Linked DNA regions of Callithrix jacchus. The protein of the gene in region 1 interacts with the protein of each later gene in a biochemical or structural test. Links are inferred from orthologs where the notes say so. Each region holds a gene or a part of one and is shown in the gene's direction. Other genes may lie near its edges.

What was found.
Region 2: the proteins of SIAH2 (region 1) and DLST form a complex in vitro, tested with the Homo sapiens proteins (2 studies listed by BioGRID, with this or other methods). The link is inferred for Callithrix jacchus from reciprocal best matches to the Homo sapiens genes SIAH2 and DLST.

The regions. Positions count from the first base shown.
Region 1 is NC_133518.1:34,498,276-34,508,188, forward strand, and holds the start of SIAH2 (E3 ubiquitin-protein ligase SIAH2), read left to right. Parts: upstream 1-4,842; 5' UTR 4,843-5,189; coding exon 5,190-5,606; intron 5,607-9,913. UniProt on the Homo sapiens protein: E3 ubiquitin-protein ligase that mediates ubiquitination and subsequent proteasomal degradation of target proteins.
Region 2 is NC_133509.1:109,794,399-109,804,241, forward strand, and holds the start of DLST (dihydrolipoyllysine-residue succinyltransferase component of 2-oxoglutarate dehydrogenase complex, mitochondrial), read left to right. Parts: upstream 1-3,709; 5' UTR 3,710-3,741; coding exon 3,742-3,804; intron 3,805-4,380; coding exon 4,381-4,414; intron 4,415-5,005; exon of another isoform or gene 5,006-5,147; coding exon of another isoform or gene 5,148-5,210; intron 5,211-7,636; coding exon 7,637-7,685; intron 7,686-9,843. UniProt on the Homo sapiens protein: Dihydrolipoamide succinyltransferase (E2) component of the 2-oxoglutarate dehydrogenase complex. The 2-oxoglutarate dehydrogenase complex catalyzes the overall conversion of 2-oxoglutarate to succinyl-CoA and CO(2).

The DNA.
Region 1 (9,913 bases):
TCAGCTGAGTCCTCTAGGTCACGGTGTCACAAGCATAATCACTTGTGAGCCAGGGTTGCAATCATCACAAGGCTCGGCTGGGAGAATCCACTTCCAAACTCACTCATTATTGGCAAGCCCAGGGTTCTCACTGGCTGTTGGCCAGAGACATGAGTTCCTTGTCATGTGGACCTTTTCATAGAGCTACTCCCAACATGGTAACTGGCTTCATTCACAGAGAGGGCTTAGAGAAGGTTGTAGACTGAATACTTGTGTCTCCTCAAAATTCACATACTGAAACTGTACTCCCTAAAGTAATGGTGTTTGCAGGTGGGGTCTTTGGGAGGTAATTAGGATTAAAGGAGGTTACGAGGGTGGAGCCCTCACAAAGAAGACTGGTATCCTTAGAAGAATCCTTAGAGAACTTGCTTCCTATCTCTGCTATGTGAGGACTCAGTGAGAAGGCTGTTATCTATGAACTAGGAAGCAGGCCATTGCTAGACACCTGTGGTACCTTGACCTTGGTCTTCCCATCCTCCACAACTCTAAGAAATAAATGTTTGTTATTTAAGTCACCTAGTTTATGATATTTTGTTATAGCAGCTCAAGCTAAGACAGCATGCAAGAGGAACGGAGGGACAGTAAGATGGCATTCATAGTCTTTTTTAACCTAATTTCAGAAGTGACATTCTATCACTTTGACCATATTCTGTTCATTTAAAGCAAGATCAGCCCTCATTCACAGGGAAGCTGTTACGGAGGAGGGATCCCTGGGAGCCTTCTTAATGACTACATCCTACAACTCACTTGGCCTCTCTACCGCAGTTTTGTCATCTATAAACATCAACCCTATAAAAGACATTGTGAGAATCTAAGATGCTTAGAACATTCCCTGGTACAGGATGAGCATGAGAGAAAATTAGTGTGGATACAAAAATAATGCAAATACATAGACCTATTCTTAGTACACAGTACTAAGTCCACGATGCTTGTTTAAGAAATGCTTGAATTAGGAGTACTTGACTATAGGAGTTTGAGGCCAGCCTGGGTAACAGTGAGGCCCCTTCTCTACAAAAAATAAAAAAGTAGCAAGGCATGGTAGCACGTACCTATAGTCCCAACTACTCAGGAAGATCCTTCGAGCCTGGGAGGTCGAGGCTGCAGTCAGCCATGATCCAGCCACTGCACTAATCCTAGACAACAGAGTGAGACCCTGTCGTAAAAAAAAGAAAAAACTTGAATTAAGTGACCCACAATTATTCAAAAGAAGTTTGAGCATTTGGAAATTACCCCAGAAACAGATGAAGTTAAAAGTTCTACTATAATTACCAGGGGGCCTTACATCACCTCCAGATTTCCCACACGCTTCCCCTGATGAGGAATTTCCATGTGGCAAGCTCCAGTGCATACTTGAGTCATCTCTAAATATCCAACCACAATTTGCTCTGCAAATGCACCCCATTTGCCTGATTGCAGAAGTTGCCTGATTTGCAAAACCACACAATTTGTAACTTACAGAAAAAAGGGCAAGAGCTTGTCTGCCTAACTGGAGCATTTCTTATTGTGCTCAGCAGTTTAGTAAGATTAGGAACTCACCTGTGAGGTGTTTTTTTTTTTTAAAGACTTACCTTGCTATTTTAGGGAAAGAAAAGGCTACTCAGTATAACCCCAGTCTTTCAAGCTTAGCACAGAGCAAGCAGATGGGTTAAGGAGAGGTGTCCTGCTTGACATATACAATCTGGGATTCAGTGGGTGGGCAAATGAGGCCAACCTCTCATACAGCAGATGTGGTAAATGAGTCATGAATCAGGAGGTAACAAAAGGCTGGACTCTGCTCCCCCAGGCCACAGACATTCACTAAACAGGCCGGGAAAGAGCAGCAACACTCCGAAGGGTAAATAATCCTCGCAACAACTCAACTCAGCACACATTTTGAGTGCACGCTAAATGTGACCTCTGAGCTGACTGCTCTCTGAAAGAAGAGGCTCTAGCTCACAGTGCAAAGGTCACCTTTCTTTGTTTCAAAAACCACAAGGAAGGAAGAAGAAAGGCGGACTGGAAAGACCAGCCTGGTCACCTACGTGGCTCACGTAGCAGGCCTGTCCACTCTCCTCCCCTGCCTTCAGCAACTGCCCAGTTTCTTTGTTTTGCTTTTGTTTTTTAATTACCCTGATTGACTTCATCAGGTGTGCAATGATGTGAAGGAGGAAGAAAGAAGACATTTCTCTATAACAGGGGAGGCATCTGCCAGGGTAAGAGTGGATGGGTTTGTTGTATTTTTAGAAAAGTAAACCAAATTCTCTCTGCAGAGAATTGCTTTTCCTGTTCTTTATTTCAACACCTCCCAAACCAAATTGCTTTCTAAATGACTGGGGCCTATCTAGCTGGAACATTGAAAGCTCATGTCAATGGGGCAAGCATGAGGACTCCAGTGTCCCAATGAGAGCTAGTTAGAAGTGCTGGGAATGAGGGTCATCACACAGAGAGGCCGGAAGTGGAAGGAAAGAAAATACATTCCAGTAATAAATTCCAAATGCTTTGATTTTAAACTAAGAATGAAAACGATTACGTTTTCTCCAGTAACAGTAAAACTGTGGGTGATTTTTGTGTCATCACTTATGTTTTGTGTCATAAAAAGATGAAAATGAAATAAATAGAATATGATTTAATTTTTCTCTCAAGACCAGCTAAGGAAAGAGTTTATGTAAAGTTTGCCCACAAAATTCAGCACTTTATTATAGGCTGAACAACTGTTTTCTATCTCTGTTGAGTGTGCTAATCTTAACTCTTCAACCAGACTACAAGTAGGAGTCAGGCATAATTCAGAAGAAGGGCTCCAAGCGGGTTCCCACATTCTCAGCTGTGAGACCTTGAGTAAAGTAATCCGTGTCTCACTTTCCTCAACTGCAAAATGGGGATAACAGTAGTATTCATCATATAGAGTTATGAGAAATACTTAAAACTATCCATGCCCAACATACAGTGCGGACTCAATAAACATTAGGTATTATTTTATGCTCCCCACCTATCCAAAAACTCAGGTTCAGCCATGAGCTTTCAAAAACCTACAAAACCTAGTGTTGTTACTTACGTGTTCTTAAAAAAAAACAAAACCCTACAGTGGTTGACCCCTATCATTGAGGTAAATGTCTTAGTAAGCCAGTTGAGGCTCCCCTTGTGCTAACCCCACGCCCCTACACTCCCATTATGTCCCCTTCAAGTCCCAATGCAATCCCAGAATACCTCCTTTCACTCTGTACTTTTCAGCTCCTGCTACAATGCCTTCCCATCTCGCGGTCCCTGAGATCCGTCCTCTCCCAGGGTTATCGGGCCTCGCTCTCTTACTAGAACGTAAACTGCATAGGAACCATTCTCTGAGCTCCAACAGTAGCGGGCACGTGATAAATGCTCCGGAAACATTTACTGAATCATTGAATATCTATACCTACTAAGTTTTTTCAAGATTTTTACCAAATTCCACGCATTTAGTCTTTCTATGGAAGCCCTTTATAAACTTTATTTCTTCTGGGCTCTAACGCCATATTTCTTTGACAAGTTTTACTCATTCATATTAAGCATCCAATAATAGTTTTAAAAGATAACAACTAACGTTTAAACAGTGCTTATGATGGGCAAGGTTGATTTTTCTGTTTGTTTGAGATGGAGTCTCTGCGTAGTTTTAAGAGCTTGACATATATCAAACTCATTACTCCTCACTGCCCCCCCATAAGATAGGTATTGTTTTTATTCCACTTTTACAGTTGGAGGAAACCACTTTTCACACATTCCTAACAGTTGGTCCTTACCTCTGTGTCTCCTACAAATATCCGCCACCTAGGGTAACCCTTTCCCCAATTCCAGAGTCACCGGCTCAAGCAAAGTTTGCAGAAAAACAGTTTAACTCGGAGTACACAGTTGAACATGCGGTTCACTCCGGGCTACCCTGCCCTCGCTAGCGCTTCTGATGGGCGCACAGGCTGGCCTAGCCGCGCAACAAACACTCGGACTTCTGCCAGCTCTCTACCAAAAGGACGCAGCGCCTTATACTGGAGGCTCACCCACTGTCTTCAGAGACCTCACGACCCAACCCACATTTCTGGCATTCCGAGATGATCTCGAACTCTCAGCCAATGCTGTCCATGAAATGCCTCCTCCTCCTGCTCTACAAGCCAGGGGCGCTCAATTCAATGAAGCCTCCTTCAGGTCCGTTGGGAAAGGAATAAAGGGAGCTTCCTTCCTTCCCACCGCCCCCCTCCCCCGCCTTTACTCAAACCCACCATTAACTGTACAAAACTAGGTCCTGTGCCCACTGCAGACCCAACTCGAGCCCCTCGCCCTGCTCCCACCCAAAGCTTCTCGTCCTGACTCCGAACACAGAACCCAGGAGGCAGCGTCGCCCTCCTCTCTTGCGCGCTGGTGAGTCAACCCCAACAGACACCTCTCGGTTTTTTCCGACCAGTGCAGGGGCGCCCGCGCCCCGCCCCTGCCCGCCCGCGTCCGGTCCCACCCACCATCCACGCTCCCGCCCTGCCAGAAGTTGCCCTTCTCGTCTGAGCCGAGGGACGAGTCAGCCAGGCACCCCGGGGTGTGGCTAAAGGACTTCGGCGACGCCTTCCCGAGGGTGGCCCCCTCCCCAATCTGGAAAACACAACCCCCCGAGGCTGTGGCGATCTAGGCATGCTCACTGGCGCAGGCCCGGCCCGCAGCCTAAGCAGGAAGCGCCGGCGCTAGGCGGCCCCCTGCGCTGCCAGCTGGAGCCGGGTGGAGCCAGCGCCCCGGCGCAGGGTGGCTCTGCCAGTCCCCGCGCGCCTGGGCGGCCGCACACGTGTCCAGGCGTCACGTCCGCGCGCGCCCCCGGGGCTTGCGTCAGCGGCCGCTCCAGAAGCTGGTGGGCCAGGGATCTTCGCGCACCGCTGGGGTTCGGGGTTCGGGGCCCGGGACGCCGCGCCGGGAGAAGGGCACCGCGCGGGGTCCGACGCGGAGGCGTGTTCGGAACTGCGGAGGCGCGTTCGGAACTCCGGGGGCTGCGGAGTGCATCCGCGTGGTCCAACCCTCCGCCTCCCGGGCGCCAAGCGTCTCCGCCGCGCGGACCTGGGCTGGGCGCCGTGGCGTTGCCTCCGAGCTCTCTGCCCGCGGGGCGCGCACCGCCTTGACCTGGGCGGCCCCGCGGCAGGCAGGCGCCCGCAGTTCCATGGTTGGTTCGGAGCGCGATGAGCCGCCCGTCCTCCACCGGCCCCAGCGCTAATAAACCGTGCAGCAAGCAGCCGCCGCCGCAGCCCCAGCACACTCCGTCCCCGGCTGCGCCCCCGGCCGCCGCCACCATCTCGGCTGCGGGCCCCGGCTCGTCCGCGGTGCCCGCCGCGGCGGCGGTGATCTCGGGCCCCGGCGGTGGCGGCGGGGCCGGCCCGGTGTCCCCGCAGCACCACGAGCTGACCTCGCTCTTTGAGTGTCCGGTCTGCTTTGACTATGTCCTGCCTCCTATCCTGCAGTGCCAGGCTGGGCACCTGGTGTGTAACCAATGCCGCCAGAAGTTGAGCTGCTGCCCGACGTGCAGGGGCGCCCTGACGCCCAGCATCAGGAACCTGGCTATGGAGAAGGTGGCCTCAGCAGTCCTGTTTCCCTGTAAGGTAAGTCCAGGGACAGCCCGCGCACCTCCGCCGGTGACCTCAGGGACTCCGGTATTCTGCAACCCACTCGCAGGCCCAGAGAGGCGGTCAGCATCTCTCCTAAAAAAAAAAAAAAAAAAAAAAAATGTTTACACTTCGTTCACCCTCCCTCAAGCCCACTTTGAAAGTAGTAGCTCTGGGTTGAAATTTACCGAGTACTGACCCCAGATTAATTGGCATTCGCTGGTCTTTAGAACATTTTCACTCACCCGCCCCAATGCCCGAGTCCTCTGCAGATGTGTATTCGGGTACGCTCGGTAAGGATGGGCCGCACCACTAAAACTTGGACCGAGAAACTGTGGGGATTGAGGAGGGAGGAAACAGGCAAGCTAAACACACCCTTTACCAGCACTCGGCTTGGCTGAATTGATACTGGAGCCCTGCACCCCGCATCTACCTTCTGCGCACCCCTGACACGTGGGAGTTCTCGAGAGTGTAGCTAAAAAAAGGACCCCTAGAGCCTGTTTTCCTCCAGCTACAAGAAAACCCTGCAAGCCACGCCTTTTTCTCTCCTAGCCTTCCAAAGACTGGGAAGGACTGAGGAGTTGTGTGGCTGCGTTTTTGTATTAAGTGGGGTGAAAACAGTCAATCAAGAAATTAACAGGGCACTCAAGAGCTGTTGTTTGAGTTGTTGAAAGCTCATCACTTCATTTTTTATTTAATGTAAAAAGTTTTCAGTGCCCTTGTGAAAAATGCAAACCATTAAGACAAGAAGTAAAATGAAAGGCCAGGACCTGTCCCGTCCTTTCCCTCCATTGTTAGGTTTAATGTGTATCTTTTTAAACTATATATACACACATACACCCTCGCAGCTAAACATAGAATCATAGATGTCAGTGTATGTCAGGGAGGTTTTTTTTAATACCCACACAGAGATACAAGTTTTTCTCCAGAAATGGCATCTGCAACTTGCTGTTTTAAAATTCATATTATCACACATATTTCTCTATGTCTGAAACCCAGCCGACTTCATTGTATTTTAAATGGCTGCATGGTATTGCATTGTGTGATCATGTTAGAACATTTGTTTATCTGCAGCTATTACGTGGAAACCTTCAGGAGCAATTTCACAGACATACTTGTCTACATTACTTCATTAAAATCTGGAAAGTTCATTTTCTGAAATTAGAAGTGGAAATAATGTCATTAATACTTTCCAGTTTTTTTGTACAAGTAACTTGTTCTGCCTCTTGGGCCATTTAGGCTGTCTTGCGTTTCTCCTTGGTGCTGCTTATTTATAGGACAAGAGCTCATTTTTAAATTAAAAATAATCCACCAGAGAATTCAGGCTTGGGGCTCAGGTCAGTAAATGAGTGATTTAATTTGGTCTGCTGCCTTGCCACAAATCAAGTTTAAAATAGCATATTTAAATAAGGGTTTGAATCAGTGTTTGGACTGTGGTGTTTCAGGCAGCCTTAATAAATTGCTTTCAACCTCTCCTCATATAATGCTCAGTAATCCACTCAGCCCAGTTTCTCAAAGTTTAAAGTATTTGCATAGTTGTCTTAGGGTTGTGAAAAAGGTGACACACTAGTGGTTGGAAAAGGTTTGGTGGTAGTTAACATAGAGTGGCTATTTGATGTCTGAGACATATTGTAGGGGTGGGGGATGCCCCACAGGATTTCTGGGGAGTCATTTTCTCACCCCTTTACTTTCCCTTAAACCTGCAGTGGCTAATAGAAAAAATGGCTTTAGGTGAGTTATAGTTCACAAATGAGCATTTGGTATTAGTCAGTAATCTATCATTTGTTTTTAAAACACAACCTCATAATAGAATCATGCTGTTCCCAAGAGAAGGGGAAGGAAACAGTTATGCTATAAGGAGCATGGAGTTTCACTTTCAGGATCTAGAACTCTGGTTCCTATGAAAGCGTATGTTCTTTCCTAACGTGTGACAGGCTAGTGAAATCAATCCTGAAGAGTAGTTCTGGGAATCAGGGATTCTCAGCCTTTCTGTACATGTCAGTAACTTTCTGAGTCTCTATAAGAATGCACTTGGGAAAAGCCATGACTTTGCAAGCTGAAATGTAAAAGGGTCAACCATTCTCCTACAGACCAGGAACCAAGCTTAGAATGTGATCTTGGGGATGCTTTTGTGTGTGTATGTGTGTGAGTTGTATAAAGCTGAAGTGTGCATGCCTCACCTTTGGTTGATCAATAATCGAAACTATTGGCAGGCAGCTCAGCCAGTTAGTCTAGATAAACCAAACTTGAATGTATACATAGGCCCAGCGACCAACCAAGATGTGTTAGCCGTAGAGGATGAGAAACAACTGTCAGTGGTAAGGCCGGCGTCAAACTTAAAACAAGGTAGGTCTGTTTTCCTAGCCCTTTGGCCTACAGTTTGAGGCTCCTAGAAATTATGAGGACTGCCTTTTCACTGTCCCCACCTGCTCTCAGAATCTCTCATGGGCTGGCTCATGTGAAAAAAAAACAATGTTGAATTAAGGACCAGAGCCCACATCTCAAGAGCTGCCTGGCACTGCCACTGTTTGCCTGAAAGACCACCTCTTGGGGCCTTGATTTCCTCATCTGTAAATGAGAGATGAGACTGCTTGACTTCTGAAAACCTGTAGCTTCTAGCGTTCCGTGAAAAGAAGAGAGTCTATCTGGATGTTATTGGACGCTCTCTGTCTGCCAACTGCTTCGTAGGGGTCAGCTTTTATTAGTTGGCCTTTTTTTTTTTTTTTTTTTTTTGCAGATGAGGAAACTCATGCCTACAGAGTGGTTAAGTGTGAAGTGACTTGTCAAATCACACAGCTAGTAAGTGGACCAGTCCATGCACCTGCATCTCAAAGGCACAGATCTTTTGTCCTACGCCTTACTACGTAGGGATTTCGAATCTGAGTGTATACTCCAACATTCTGAATCATAACTCAAGGTTGACACCAGTAACGAAACCATCTGGTTCGATGAGTTCACCAGATGGGCCTCTGATGGGACCATCCCAAAATGACAACATACATACTCACTATGAAATTCATTGGCAGGAATTTTGTAGGGTATGTCGGGTAGGAAGATGCGGGGGGTGGGTGCGGCGGGGACCTACAAACCTAGTATTTTGTGGAATATCATCACATCTTTAGACTGCTTCAGTTAGCCAAAAAATGGATATATTGCCAATAGCTACCCTACTTAGGTGTAGGGTAATTAATTAAAGCCTAGAGTTCGGCCAGCAGCTTTGATAACAGGGAACCAGGTGCATTATTAGTTCAGATCTTTGGGTGGTGTCTCATGCCTGTAATCCCAGCACTTTGGGAGGCTGAGGCAGGCCGATCACCTGACGTCAGGAGTTTGAGACCAGCCTGGACAACATGGTGAAACCTCCTCTCTACTAAAAATACAAAAATTAGCAGGCGTGGTGGCGGGCACCTGTAATCCCAGCTATTCAGGAGGCTGAGGCAGGGGAATCACTTGAACCCAGGAGGCAGAAGTTGCAGTTAGGGCCTAACAGAGTTCCGAGATCGTGCCACTGCATTCCAGCCTAGGTGACTGAGCAAGACTCTATCTCAAATTTAAAAAAAAGATATGTCTAATAGTTTATGGCTTTCTTCCACTTGGGGTATTTATTTAATCCATTCTATGGCTTGTTCCATGCCTGAAAACTTTTGACATCCTGTTCTCGGACTTAAAATCACCCCTTCAGTGTGTGGGTTTAGGGGGAGAAGTGAAGGTTGACACATTCGTGTCATGACATATTTTGATATCAGCCAAGTATTTCTCTCCCCAACTGTGAGAAATGCTAATCCACTCCAGCCTTCTTACACTGTGATACCTTTTCTTTATCCTCGCTGAAAGTTTCTAGTAGCGTATCTCCAAATCATTATGGAATTTGAAATCCTCAGCCAGACAAGTCTTCCCTGTGGTTGAATTGTGACAATGTCTATGTTCTTAAAAAATAAATAAATACATAAATCAAACCAAGTCAGATTAGACAAAACGGTTGGAAGTTTAAACGACTTTCCGTGGCATCCTCTAGGCCAGTGGAGACAAAGTTTCTAAATGGGAGCAGGGCCAGGTAATGCAGGGGAGAGAGACATGTGACGCATGCATGGCCTCAGGGTTAGGGAGACCTGGAGGAGTGGTGGAGACAGTGGAGAGCCAGGGAATGGTACCACCTCCCAAGAGGCAGCCTTTACTCAGTTCTGGCTGATTGGTTAGGGTAGGGATGTGGGTGCAGACATATCAGACCTTTAGATTTTTTCAAGAAAAGCCAGAAATCTGGATTTTATTTCTTTAAGAGATGACACCTCACCATGTTACCTGGG
Region 2 (9,843 bases), on another chromosome or scaffold:
ACGGTGAAACCCCCGTCTCTACTAAAATTACGAAAATTAGCCAGGCATGGTGGCGGGCATCTGTAGTTCCAGCTACTTGGGAGGCTGAGGCAAGAGAATCACTTGAACCCAGGAGATGGAGGCTGCAGCGAGCCGAGATATGGCACTGCACTCCAGTGTGGGTGACAGACTGAGACCCTGTCTCCAAAAAAAAAAAAAAGAAAAAAAAAGAAAAAAAAAATTAGCCAGGCATGGTGGTGTGCACCTATAGTCCCAGCTACTCAGGAGGCTGAGGCAGGAGAAACACTTGAACCCGGTAGGTGGAGGTTGCAGTGAGCCAAGATCGTGCCACTGCACTCCAGTCTGGTGACAGAGCAACAGCCTATCTAAAAAAAAAAAATTCTCTTTGAACCCTGCCACAGTTTATATTCATAACCTCTTGCCCCAGTAGACAGTGCTGTGTCTTGGGAGGCTCTAAATGAAGACCAGGGCAGTAGCTTATTGGGTTGCAGCTTGGAGTCCATGGAAACTCGCATGTGAATCTCAAGGAAATAAATTTCAACTTTTACCCTCTGAAAGAGATTTTGTATGAAACTGTGTTCAAGTGTGTGTGTGTGTGTGTGTGTGTGGTGTTTTAAGACTGTAATATCTAAGATTAACTTTGGTGATCACTAAAACTCCAGAAGTGCTTTGCCACATTATTATTATTATTATTTTTAAAGACGGGGTTGCACCATGTTGGTGAGGCTGGTCTTGAACTCCCGACCTCAGGTGATCCACCGCCTTGGCCTCCAAAGTGGTTGGATTACAGGTGTGAGCCACCATGCCCGGCCGCTTTGCCACATTATAACTAGGCTTGAGCCTCTACACTTCTCAAGACCGGGCACTGTGGCTCACACCTGCAATCCTGGCGCTTTGGGAGGCCGAGATGGGTGGATCACCTGAGGTCAGGAGTTCGAGACCAGCCTGGCCAACATGGTTACACCCTATCTCTTAAAAAAAAAAAAAAAAAAATCTCAAAAAGTATTAAAGACTGTGAGAGAATTGAGTAGCTAGCTGAGAAAAAATATTAACGGCAACCCTAGCAAGAGATTGTCATAGCCTCTGGCTACTGTTCTTGGATTATTCACCTGTGTCTATCAATGTTGTAAACATGAAAGTATATAGTCATTCCACAAACATTTACTGAGTACCTGCAGAGTCCCAGGAACTCCGTTGTCCCAGGTGTTGTGTTTGGAGGATTCAGGAAAATAAAAAGTGGTCTCTTTCCATGTGCTTCTCTGTGCAACAGGGGAGACATGCAGGTAAACAGGATGTTACAATACAATGCACCGCAGACACCCAGACACAGTGCTTTGGAAGCATAGAAAATGTATCTGTTAATTCTGCCAGAGGGGTTAGGAAGGGATTCAGAAGGAGATTTAACGGATGACTAGGAGTCCCTAGGCAAATAGGAGGAGGGAAGAACCCACGCAAAACTATCAAGGAGTCAAAAAGCTCAGTGGGGCCGGGTGCGGTGGCTCAAGCCTGTAATCCCAGCACTTTGGGAAGCCGAGGCGGGTGGATCACGAGGTCAAGAAATCAAGACCATCCTGGTCAACATGGTGAAACCCCGTCTCTACTAAAAATACAAATAATTAGCTGGGCATGGTGGCGCATGCCTGTAATCCCAGCTACTCAGGAGGCTGAGGCAGGAGAATTGCCTGAACCCAGGAGGCGGAGGTTGTGGTGAGCTCCATTGCACTCCAGCCTGGGTAACAAGAGCGAAACTCCGTCTGAAAAAAAAAAAAAAAAAAACTCAGTGGGGCTATGGCCAGTGGTGTGGTTTAATTAAAGCTCACAATCTGTGAGAATGTGGGGAGGGAATCAGAACATAATCAGAGGCCTGATTATCAGGTTGCCTAGTCAAGTTGAGGAGTTTGGACTTCATCCTACAGGGAAATAAAGTTTATCTCCCTTGCATTTCAGATTTCAGAAGGATTTCTTTTCTTTTTCTTTTTTTTTTTTTTTTTTAAGGAGTCTCATTCTGTCACCAGGCTGGAGTACAGTGGTGGTATCTTGGCTCACTGCAACCTTTGTCTCCTGGGTTCAAGTGATTCTTCTGCCTCAGCTTCCCGAGTAGCTGGGATTACAGGCACTCGCTACCACACCAGGCTAATTTTTGTATTTTTAGTAGAGACAGGGTTTCACCATGTTGGCCAGGTTCGTCTCGAACTCTTGACCTCAAGTGATCCACGCACCTCATCCTCCCAAAGTGCTGGGATTATAGGCATTAAGCCACTGCACTGGGCCCAGAAGGATCTTTGACACAGATACAAAGGATGATGGACTAGAGAAAGCGAGAGTGGAGGCTTAGAACTGCTTAGAGAGCTTTTCAAATAATTCAGGTGGAGGCTACTGAGGAGTTGATTATAGGTAGCAGCAGGGCACAGCTGTTTTCTCTGTTTCTAGTTAGGACTTTGGCCCATCCTTCCAGAATGCCAGTGGCAGTGCTTTCAGGGTTCAGGTGAACGAAGGCACTTGTAAGTGTCCTAATGGAGTTTGAGGCCAGCCTGGGCAACATAGTGAGACCCTGTCTCAATTTATATTAAAACATAAATTAATTAGAAAAATAAAATTAAAAAAAAGGTCCTGAGGACCAGGCAAAATGCCTCAGATAAAGAAACCATCATGAACAGGCACCAGGTGGTTCATTCACACATTTATTTGTTGCTAATTCAGCCATAGGTTTAAAGAACATCTTTTTTATTAGGAAGATGAGCCTTAAAGGTGAATACTTAGGGGCCTGAACACTTAAGGAGGGGAAAGGGATGCTATGTGCTTTCACTTCAAGGCAGCGGGCAGAATGGTACACTCAGTGTGGAGGTCAGTGCGGCATGGTAGCACCTGCAGTCCCAGCTACTTCAGAGGCTATGGTAGTGGGATCGCTTGAGCCCAGAATATCGAGGCTGCAGTGAGCAAGCTATGACCTGGTTTCTTAAAAGAAAAGCTGGGAGTTTATATTCTAGGGATAGGGTAACGAACAACTTCCAAAATGCACAAGATGTATGGGGAACAATTAGTTTGACTGGAATTTGTATGGAGGAAGATCAGAGGCTGTTGCATTGGTGAAGATATCCGGCTCGGCTCGTAAAAAGGCAGTGGGAGCCCTTTAGAAATTCCTGGGATTCTGTTTCTTTGATTCGGAGTTAGGAAGACAAGGAAGTAACAAGTGCCGTCCCTCCCTCCCTTCCTTCCTTCCTCTTTCTTTCTTTCTTTTCTTTTCTTTTTTTTTTAATAGTTAAGGAACCTGAGGCTAGGGGCTGGGGGGCAATGTCATCTGCCCCAGGCCACACAGTGTAAGATCAGGCATGCATGTCTGCCAAGGTTTGAGTTCAAAGTCCGTGCCCCCCTTGGTACAGAGGCAGAAAGGCGCGGTGCCCCCGGGTCCCAAGAGAGAAGGGCGCCAAGCTCAGAGCCAGTTCTGTGGAAGGGTCGGGGAAGGCCTGACCCCGGGGGCGATCCGGTGGCGGGATAATCTTAGACACCTTCAGGAGAACCGGCCCAGGCTGACAGGTTGCGCAAACGGCCCCGCCTGCTCCAGAGAGCCGTACTCCTGGGATGCAACGCAGGCTAGTGGGCGCCTCCGTGGCGCCCACACCCCCCGCCAGTGGTTCGCTCCGAACACCCCTTGCCGGGCAGCGGGTGCTGCGGTCCGCCCCACTTCCGGTTGTTGCCGGGCCCTATATCCGGTGTCCGCCCGCCCTCGGCTCCGCAGCCGCGATGCTGTCCCGGTCCCGCTGTGTGTCTCGGGCATTTAGCCGCTCGCTCTCCGCCTTCCAGAAGGTACGATCTGGCCTAGCCGGGGCCCCAACGGATGAGGAGACTGCTGGCGGGCGGACAGGTGACCTGGAAGGCAGGGGCGCGGCGCGCCGGCCAGCCCGGGCACCAAGGGCACCGGGACGCGGAGGCCGCGCGGGCTGGGCGGCCCGGGGCTGTGGTTGTCCTCGGGACCGTCTTGCGGAGCCCGGCGGCCCCCTGCCTTCTCCAGGCAGCCCGCGGAGAACGTTTCCTGCCTTACCCCCCCCTCCGCGCGGGAGCTGGGGAGCCGCGCCCGTCCACATACTTGACTCAGAGTTGGGGAGGAGGCGCGGCGGAGTCTTCTGGCGGGATTCGGCGCCCGTCTCCTCTTGCTCTGTTAAAATCTGTGGGTATTAGTGAGTCCCATTGGGAAGTTGAGATAGTTTGGCAGGCCCAGCGTGTTGATTGGGTTTGCCAGCCCGGTGTGTTACATTTACCTTCGGAGTTACGAGATTCACCTGTCACCAGCACTGGGACAGCTTTGAGCGTATACTTAAAAGAATTCCTGTTTGTTTTTTTTTTCGTCTTGGGTGATGTCGATAATGTCTTCTTTCTCAACAGGGGAACTGCCCTCTAGGGAGACGTTCCCTGCCTGGTAAGTTCTGCCCTTGCCGTCACCTAAAATGCTCTCCTCCTGGGCAGAGCCGTATGTGAGGAACTCGGGGGTGCCTGTGTTTCTCATAATATTTAAAGGCAGTTCGATTTAGAGAGTAGTGAGACACAATTCTACATAATCATGGGCTATCATTTACTCATTTAGCTTGTAGTTTTTAAGTTTCTGCTGTCAGGCCCTGCGCTAGGGATACAGCAGTGAATACAGCAGTGTACAATTCTTGCTCTCGTGGAGCTCCCAGGCTAGTTGGAAAGTGTCAGTTGCCAAACAAGTGAACAGTGACAACGTTCTGTAAATGCTGAGAAGGAAACACACGAGGGTGGACAGACGAGCCTTCTTTGAGGAGGTCACATAAAAATACGGCCGGGCACCGTGGCCCAGGCCTGTAATCCCAGCACTTTGGGAGGCCTACGCGCGGAGATCATTCTTCCTGGGCAGGAGTTCGAGACCAGCCTAGCCAGCATGGTGAAACCCCGTCTCTACTAAAAATACAAAAATTAGCCGGGCGTGGTGGTGTGTGCCTGTAATCCCAGCTACTTGGGAGGCTGAGGCAGAATTGCTTGAACCTGGGAGGCGGAGGTTGCAGTGAGCCGAGATTCTGACACTGCACTCCAGTCTGGCCGGCAGAGCAAGACTCCGACTCAAAACAAAACAAAAAACACTATGGCCAGCAGAATGTGACGGAGCTAACCCAGTGAAGCCCAGGAAAAAGAGAATGGCATGCACGAAGATCTTCAGGAAGAAAAGAGGTTGGCAGAACTTAAGAACTAGAAAAAAGGTGATTTGGCCAGAGTATTTTAGTTAAGGGAGAGTGGCATGAGATAGAAGATGGTGTAGAAACTGTTTGACGGAGTTTAGATTTTATCCCAATAGTTTTGAAAAAAAAATTAACAATGGTCATTCATAGCTAATTTTCTGTTATATGCCTAAGTATTTGTTGAATGAGTTGATCTTGTGGACTTTCTTTGTACCAAGCATTTATGAGTGCTTTCTGTGAACTTTTTAGTTAATCACAAAATACTAAGAAGTGTTTTCTCTATTTTACAAATGCATAACCCTAGACAAGAGAGATTAAAAGCCTTGGCCAAGGTCACCCACCCAGCGGTTGATCAAGCCAGGTCTACCTGACCCAGCCTGAACTCTTAGCCCACCATGTTCTCATTTACTCAAGGACTCAGCAGATCATTTATTAAGTGCTTACTATAAGCCAGCCACTGTGCTACGTAATAGGGATACACCTATCCTAGCCTCGATGATTGTCTCTAGCCTCGAGATTTTATGGGCTAACTGGAGAGAGAGCAAATACACATTTATGCTCCGACAAGGGTGTAATTAAATTGTGGTTACTACCAGAAAGGAATAAAGGGTGATGAGAGGGTGGCATGATGTAGCCCAGCTGGGGAAGGTTGGGAATGTCAGTAAAGGCTTCCTTGAAGAAGTGACATTTAACTGAGACTTCAATATAAAAGAGCCAAGAAAAATGATATTCCAGGCAAAGTGAATTGTTTGTGCAAAGGTTTTCAGACAGGAAAGGACTTGGCCAGTGATAGACATGGGAAGAAGCCTGTCTGGCTGGAAGGATAGAGTGGGCTGGATGGTACAGGATCGAATAAATTGTGTGGACTTTATTCTAAGAGTTATGAGGACATAAGGCACCTAGCACAACGTGAGCTTGTAGTGGACTCTCAATAACATGTTTTTCAAGTGGGAATTCTGAACAATGCCAGCAAACGTGTTCTCCACTTTATGGGTGGGCAGGGCAATGGAAAGAGCCTTGCACTTGGGATTTGCATTTTGGCTTGGGCTAGTCACTTAACCTCCAGAAGCCCTACATATGTGAAATGGGAATAATGGCAGATGGTCGTTCCACTTCAGAGAGTTGTGACACTGAAAGTCAAAATGAGGTCATTATGTGAAAGCTTTTTATAAACCTAAAGTGCTGTATCGGTGAAACTTGCTGTAGGATGAACTCTGAATTGGACTCCAGGTTCCAAAAATCAGTGTGGGCTGCCAGCTGTTCTAGTTGAAAAAGATACTGTGCTTGAATTTTGCACTGCATAGTCATTGGCTGCTGGACATAGAGGTGATTGGCTTACCTATCTTGGGATGTTTGTGAGAAGGTGGGAGTAAGAGAGAGCTAGCTCTCATTTAGAGTCTCTTGAGCCCATGGTTCAGAAAGAGTTGTTAATCTGGGGAAAAAAAAAAAGACAATATATTCAGAAGAGGCAGCTGTAGTTACTAGTCAACAGATGGGGAAATGCACTTAACTGTTGTAAGGACAGCTGGTGGGCAGAAAGGGGCTGTCACCTTTTTGAGAGTGACCAGGGTGGAAGACTTCAGAAAGGCATGGGAAGTCAGTAATTGAAAGGTGGGCACATGATTTTCTCAGCCCTAGGACATGCTGAAGACCCTGATCCTGAAGTAGCTGAGTCTTTGCTACTAGGGTTCAGGTGATAAGATTTTTAGCCCAATCTTTTCAAACCCAGACCACATGTCCTCCTTGCTTCTCAAATTGGGTTATGTATAGCCATCCCATATCTTTCTTTCTTTTCTTTTTTTTTTTTTTGAGACAGTGGCCCAGGCTGAAGTGCAGTAGTGCGATCTCGGCTCACTGCAACCTCCTCCTCCCTGGTTCAAGCTATTCTCCTGCCTCAGCCTCCTGAGTAGCTGGGACTATAGGTGCGTGCCACCACACCTAGCTAATTTTTGTATTTTTAGTAGAGACAGGGTTTCACTGAGTTGGCCGGTATGGTCTTGATCTCTTGACCTTGTGGTCTGCCTGCCTCGCCTCCCAAAGTGCTGGTGAGCCACCACACCCGGCCATCATCCCATATCTTTCTTAAGCTTCAATTGTATTTGAAGACTTGGTGAGTAGAGATTTTATTATGAAAACATAAAGAAATAATGAAAAGTGACTTTTTAAGGTAAATGAGATTATATAATCACTTTGGGCTGTGCCATCAAATTTTTTCTCTTTCCTTTCCCAAACACATACCCACTCTTAACCTCAAATACCCAGTGCTGTCTGCCATTAAGGCTACTTTGGAAAAGTTTGAGAAGCAAGACATTATGATAAAGATTATATCCATTGCCTGTAGTTGATTCTGTTCTGTCTCAGGGTTGGGGGTGAGCAGACCTACATTCCCAGAATGTATCCTTTGTGAGATAAGAGTTGTTGGTTAAGAGTTGTTTTGTTTCTTGCAGGGGTCTCCTTATGCCAGGGACCAGGTTACCCTAACAGCAGGAAGGTTGTGTAAGTATCACTGGGGCATACAGATATGTGGCCACGGGGTATTTTTAAGACATCAGTTCTAAATTTGACCATCTGATTTCCTCACTGGCCTCCAGATCTAGCAATTGAAGTGGTTATGTTGAGTCCCTAAACTAACCTTGATATTCATTTTTCCCATATGATGTTCCTTGAGCATCAGCCCCATGTCAGGTGTTGAACTGGGAGTGTGCTTGCTCTCCACAGGTATTTAGATTATAATGAAAATTAGGTTGGAACCCTCTTTTTATGGGATAAGTATAGAAGGGTGCTCTTGGATATTCTAGTTGGGTATAAGTCAGCTGAAGGGCTCAAGGTTACATTTATTGTAGAGATTGAGCCATCCTCTCAGTAGCATAGTTACTCATTTTAAAAAGAATAAAAGCATAAAACTGGTTGAGTCCTGGGACTGACTAGTTTGGAGGGAATACTGTTATTGCATAATGCAGAGTTTGGAGAAAGGCCACTCGTGTGTTTCAGATTAATTTTTGCTTATTAATGTTGCTTAAATGCTGCTTTGCATTCCAGGTGTTTTTGTGGTGGTGCTAAGAGAATGCTCTCTAGTAACCTGTTCAACAGCTGTCAGGCTGCTTTGTCTACAGGGAGAATCCTCAAAGTAAAGGGGTCAACAGATAAACTTCTTCCTTAATGTGCATCACAATGAGGATTTTTTGTTGTTGTTTTGAGACAGGATCTTGCTCTGTCCTGGCTGGAGTGAAGTAGCATGATCTTGGCTTGCTGCATCCTCAGCCTCCTAGGCTCAAGTGATCCTTTCATTTCAGCCTCCTGAGTAACTGGGACTACAGACACATGCCACCATGCCCAGCTGATTTTTATATTTTTTGTAGAGATGGGGTGTTTTGCCATGGTGCCAGGGTTTCAAACTCCTGGGCTCAGGTAATCCACCCACCTGCCTTAGCCTCCCAAAGTGGGGGATACAAGCATGAGCTATGGTACCTGGCTGTTTTTTTTTAAATTGAGAAAATGTTGCACTCAGTACTAGAAATATGAATTCCTATGTTATTTTGGAGGGCAGTTTGGTGGTCATAAGTCTTTGAATTATGTATGCCTTTTGGTCTAGCAATTCCATTTCTAGGAATCTATACTGAAGAACTCCTGATATAATAAGATTTCTCTCAAAATGACAGAGCAAGGGATTGGTTAAACTGTAGTATGCTTCACAGGTTCACACTCTGAAAAGTGGGAAAAAGCAGGTTACAAAATGATTTCATTTTCTACTCTATGGTATAATCCCATTGTAACTATTTTTTTTGCTATTTCTAATCTGCAGTGAGCATCTAGTTATTTAGAGATTCAAAGTGTATCACTCATCTGCAATCCAATGAAAATTGGAGCAATCATGAATCTCTACAATAAATACATTAAATATTTGAAAGTAAATAATGAAGAAAAAAGTAAACTTTATGTGGGATCACCCATAATCATGTCACCCTAATCCAGTATTTTCTGTGTGTTGTGCCTCGGTGAATAAGGTACCCACTTTAAGAAATCTTTTATTGTAAAACAATTTTTGGTTTTATGTTTCCACTTAATAGGTGTTATATTTACATGTTTAAAAATTCAAAAAGTAAAAAGGATGTCCGTGAGAAGACTTTTATCCTTGTCCTCTAGCCTTGCAAATGCTTCTTAACAGTGGTGGCCACCACTCAGGGTTCCTGGATGACTGGAGAGCAGCCTCTGCACTTGTGTGTTACCTGTTAGCTCTTGCCTATGGGCATGTACTTTTCATGGTTACAAACTATATGTAGAACATTTTGCATTCTGTAGTTTTTAAATATCTTCACTTTTTTCTTGGTTGTGTATAGACCTTATAGTTACCAACTTAAATCTATTTTACTTTTCTGTTGTAAACGTGTTTGTTGTAGAATATTCAAACAATCCTGAAGTGCAGAAAGTAAAAGTCCCCATCCAAATCATTCTCCCAAATTGTGCAAGTGTGCATGCAACATATAACCATAGATACCATATATGTCTACATCTCTCACCCTCAGAGGTAACCGCTGTTAATGGCTTTGTGCATACAGGGTGATCTCATTCTCCAGTTATATCAACTGGACAGTTATATATATAAACAGTTATATTATTACTGTAAAGGCCATATCAGAAACCACCTTGGTCTCTG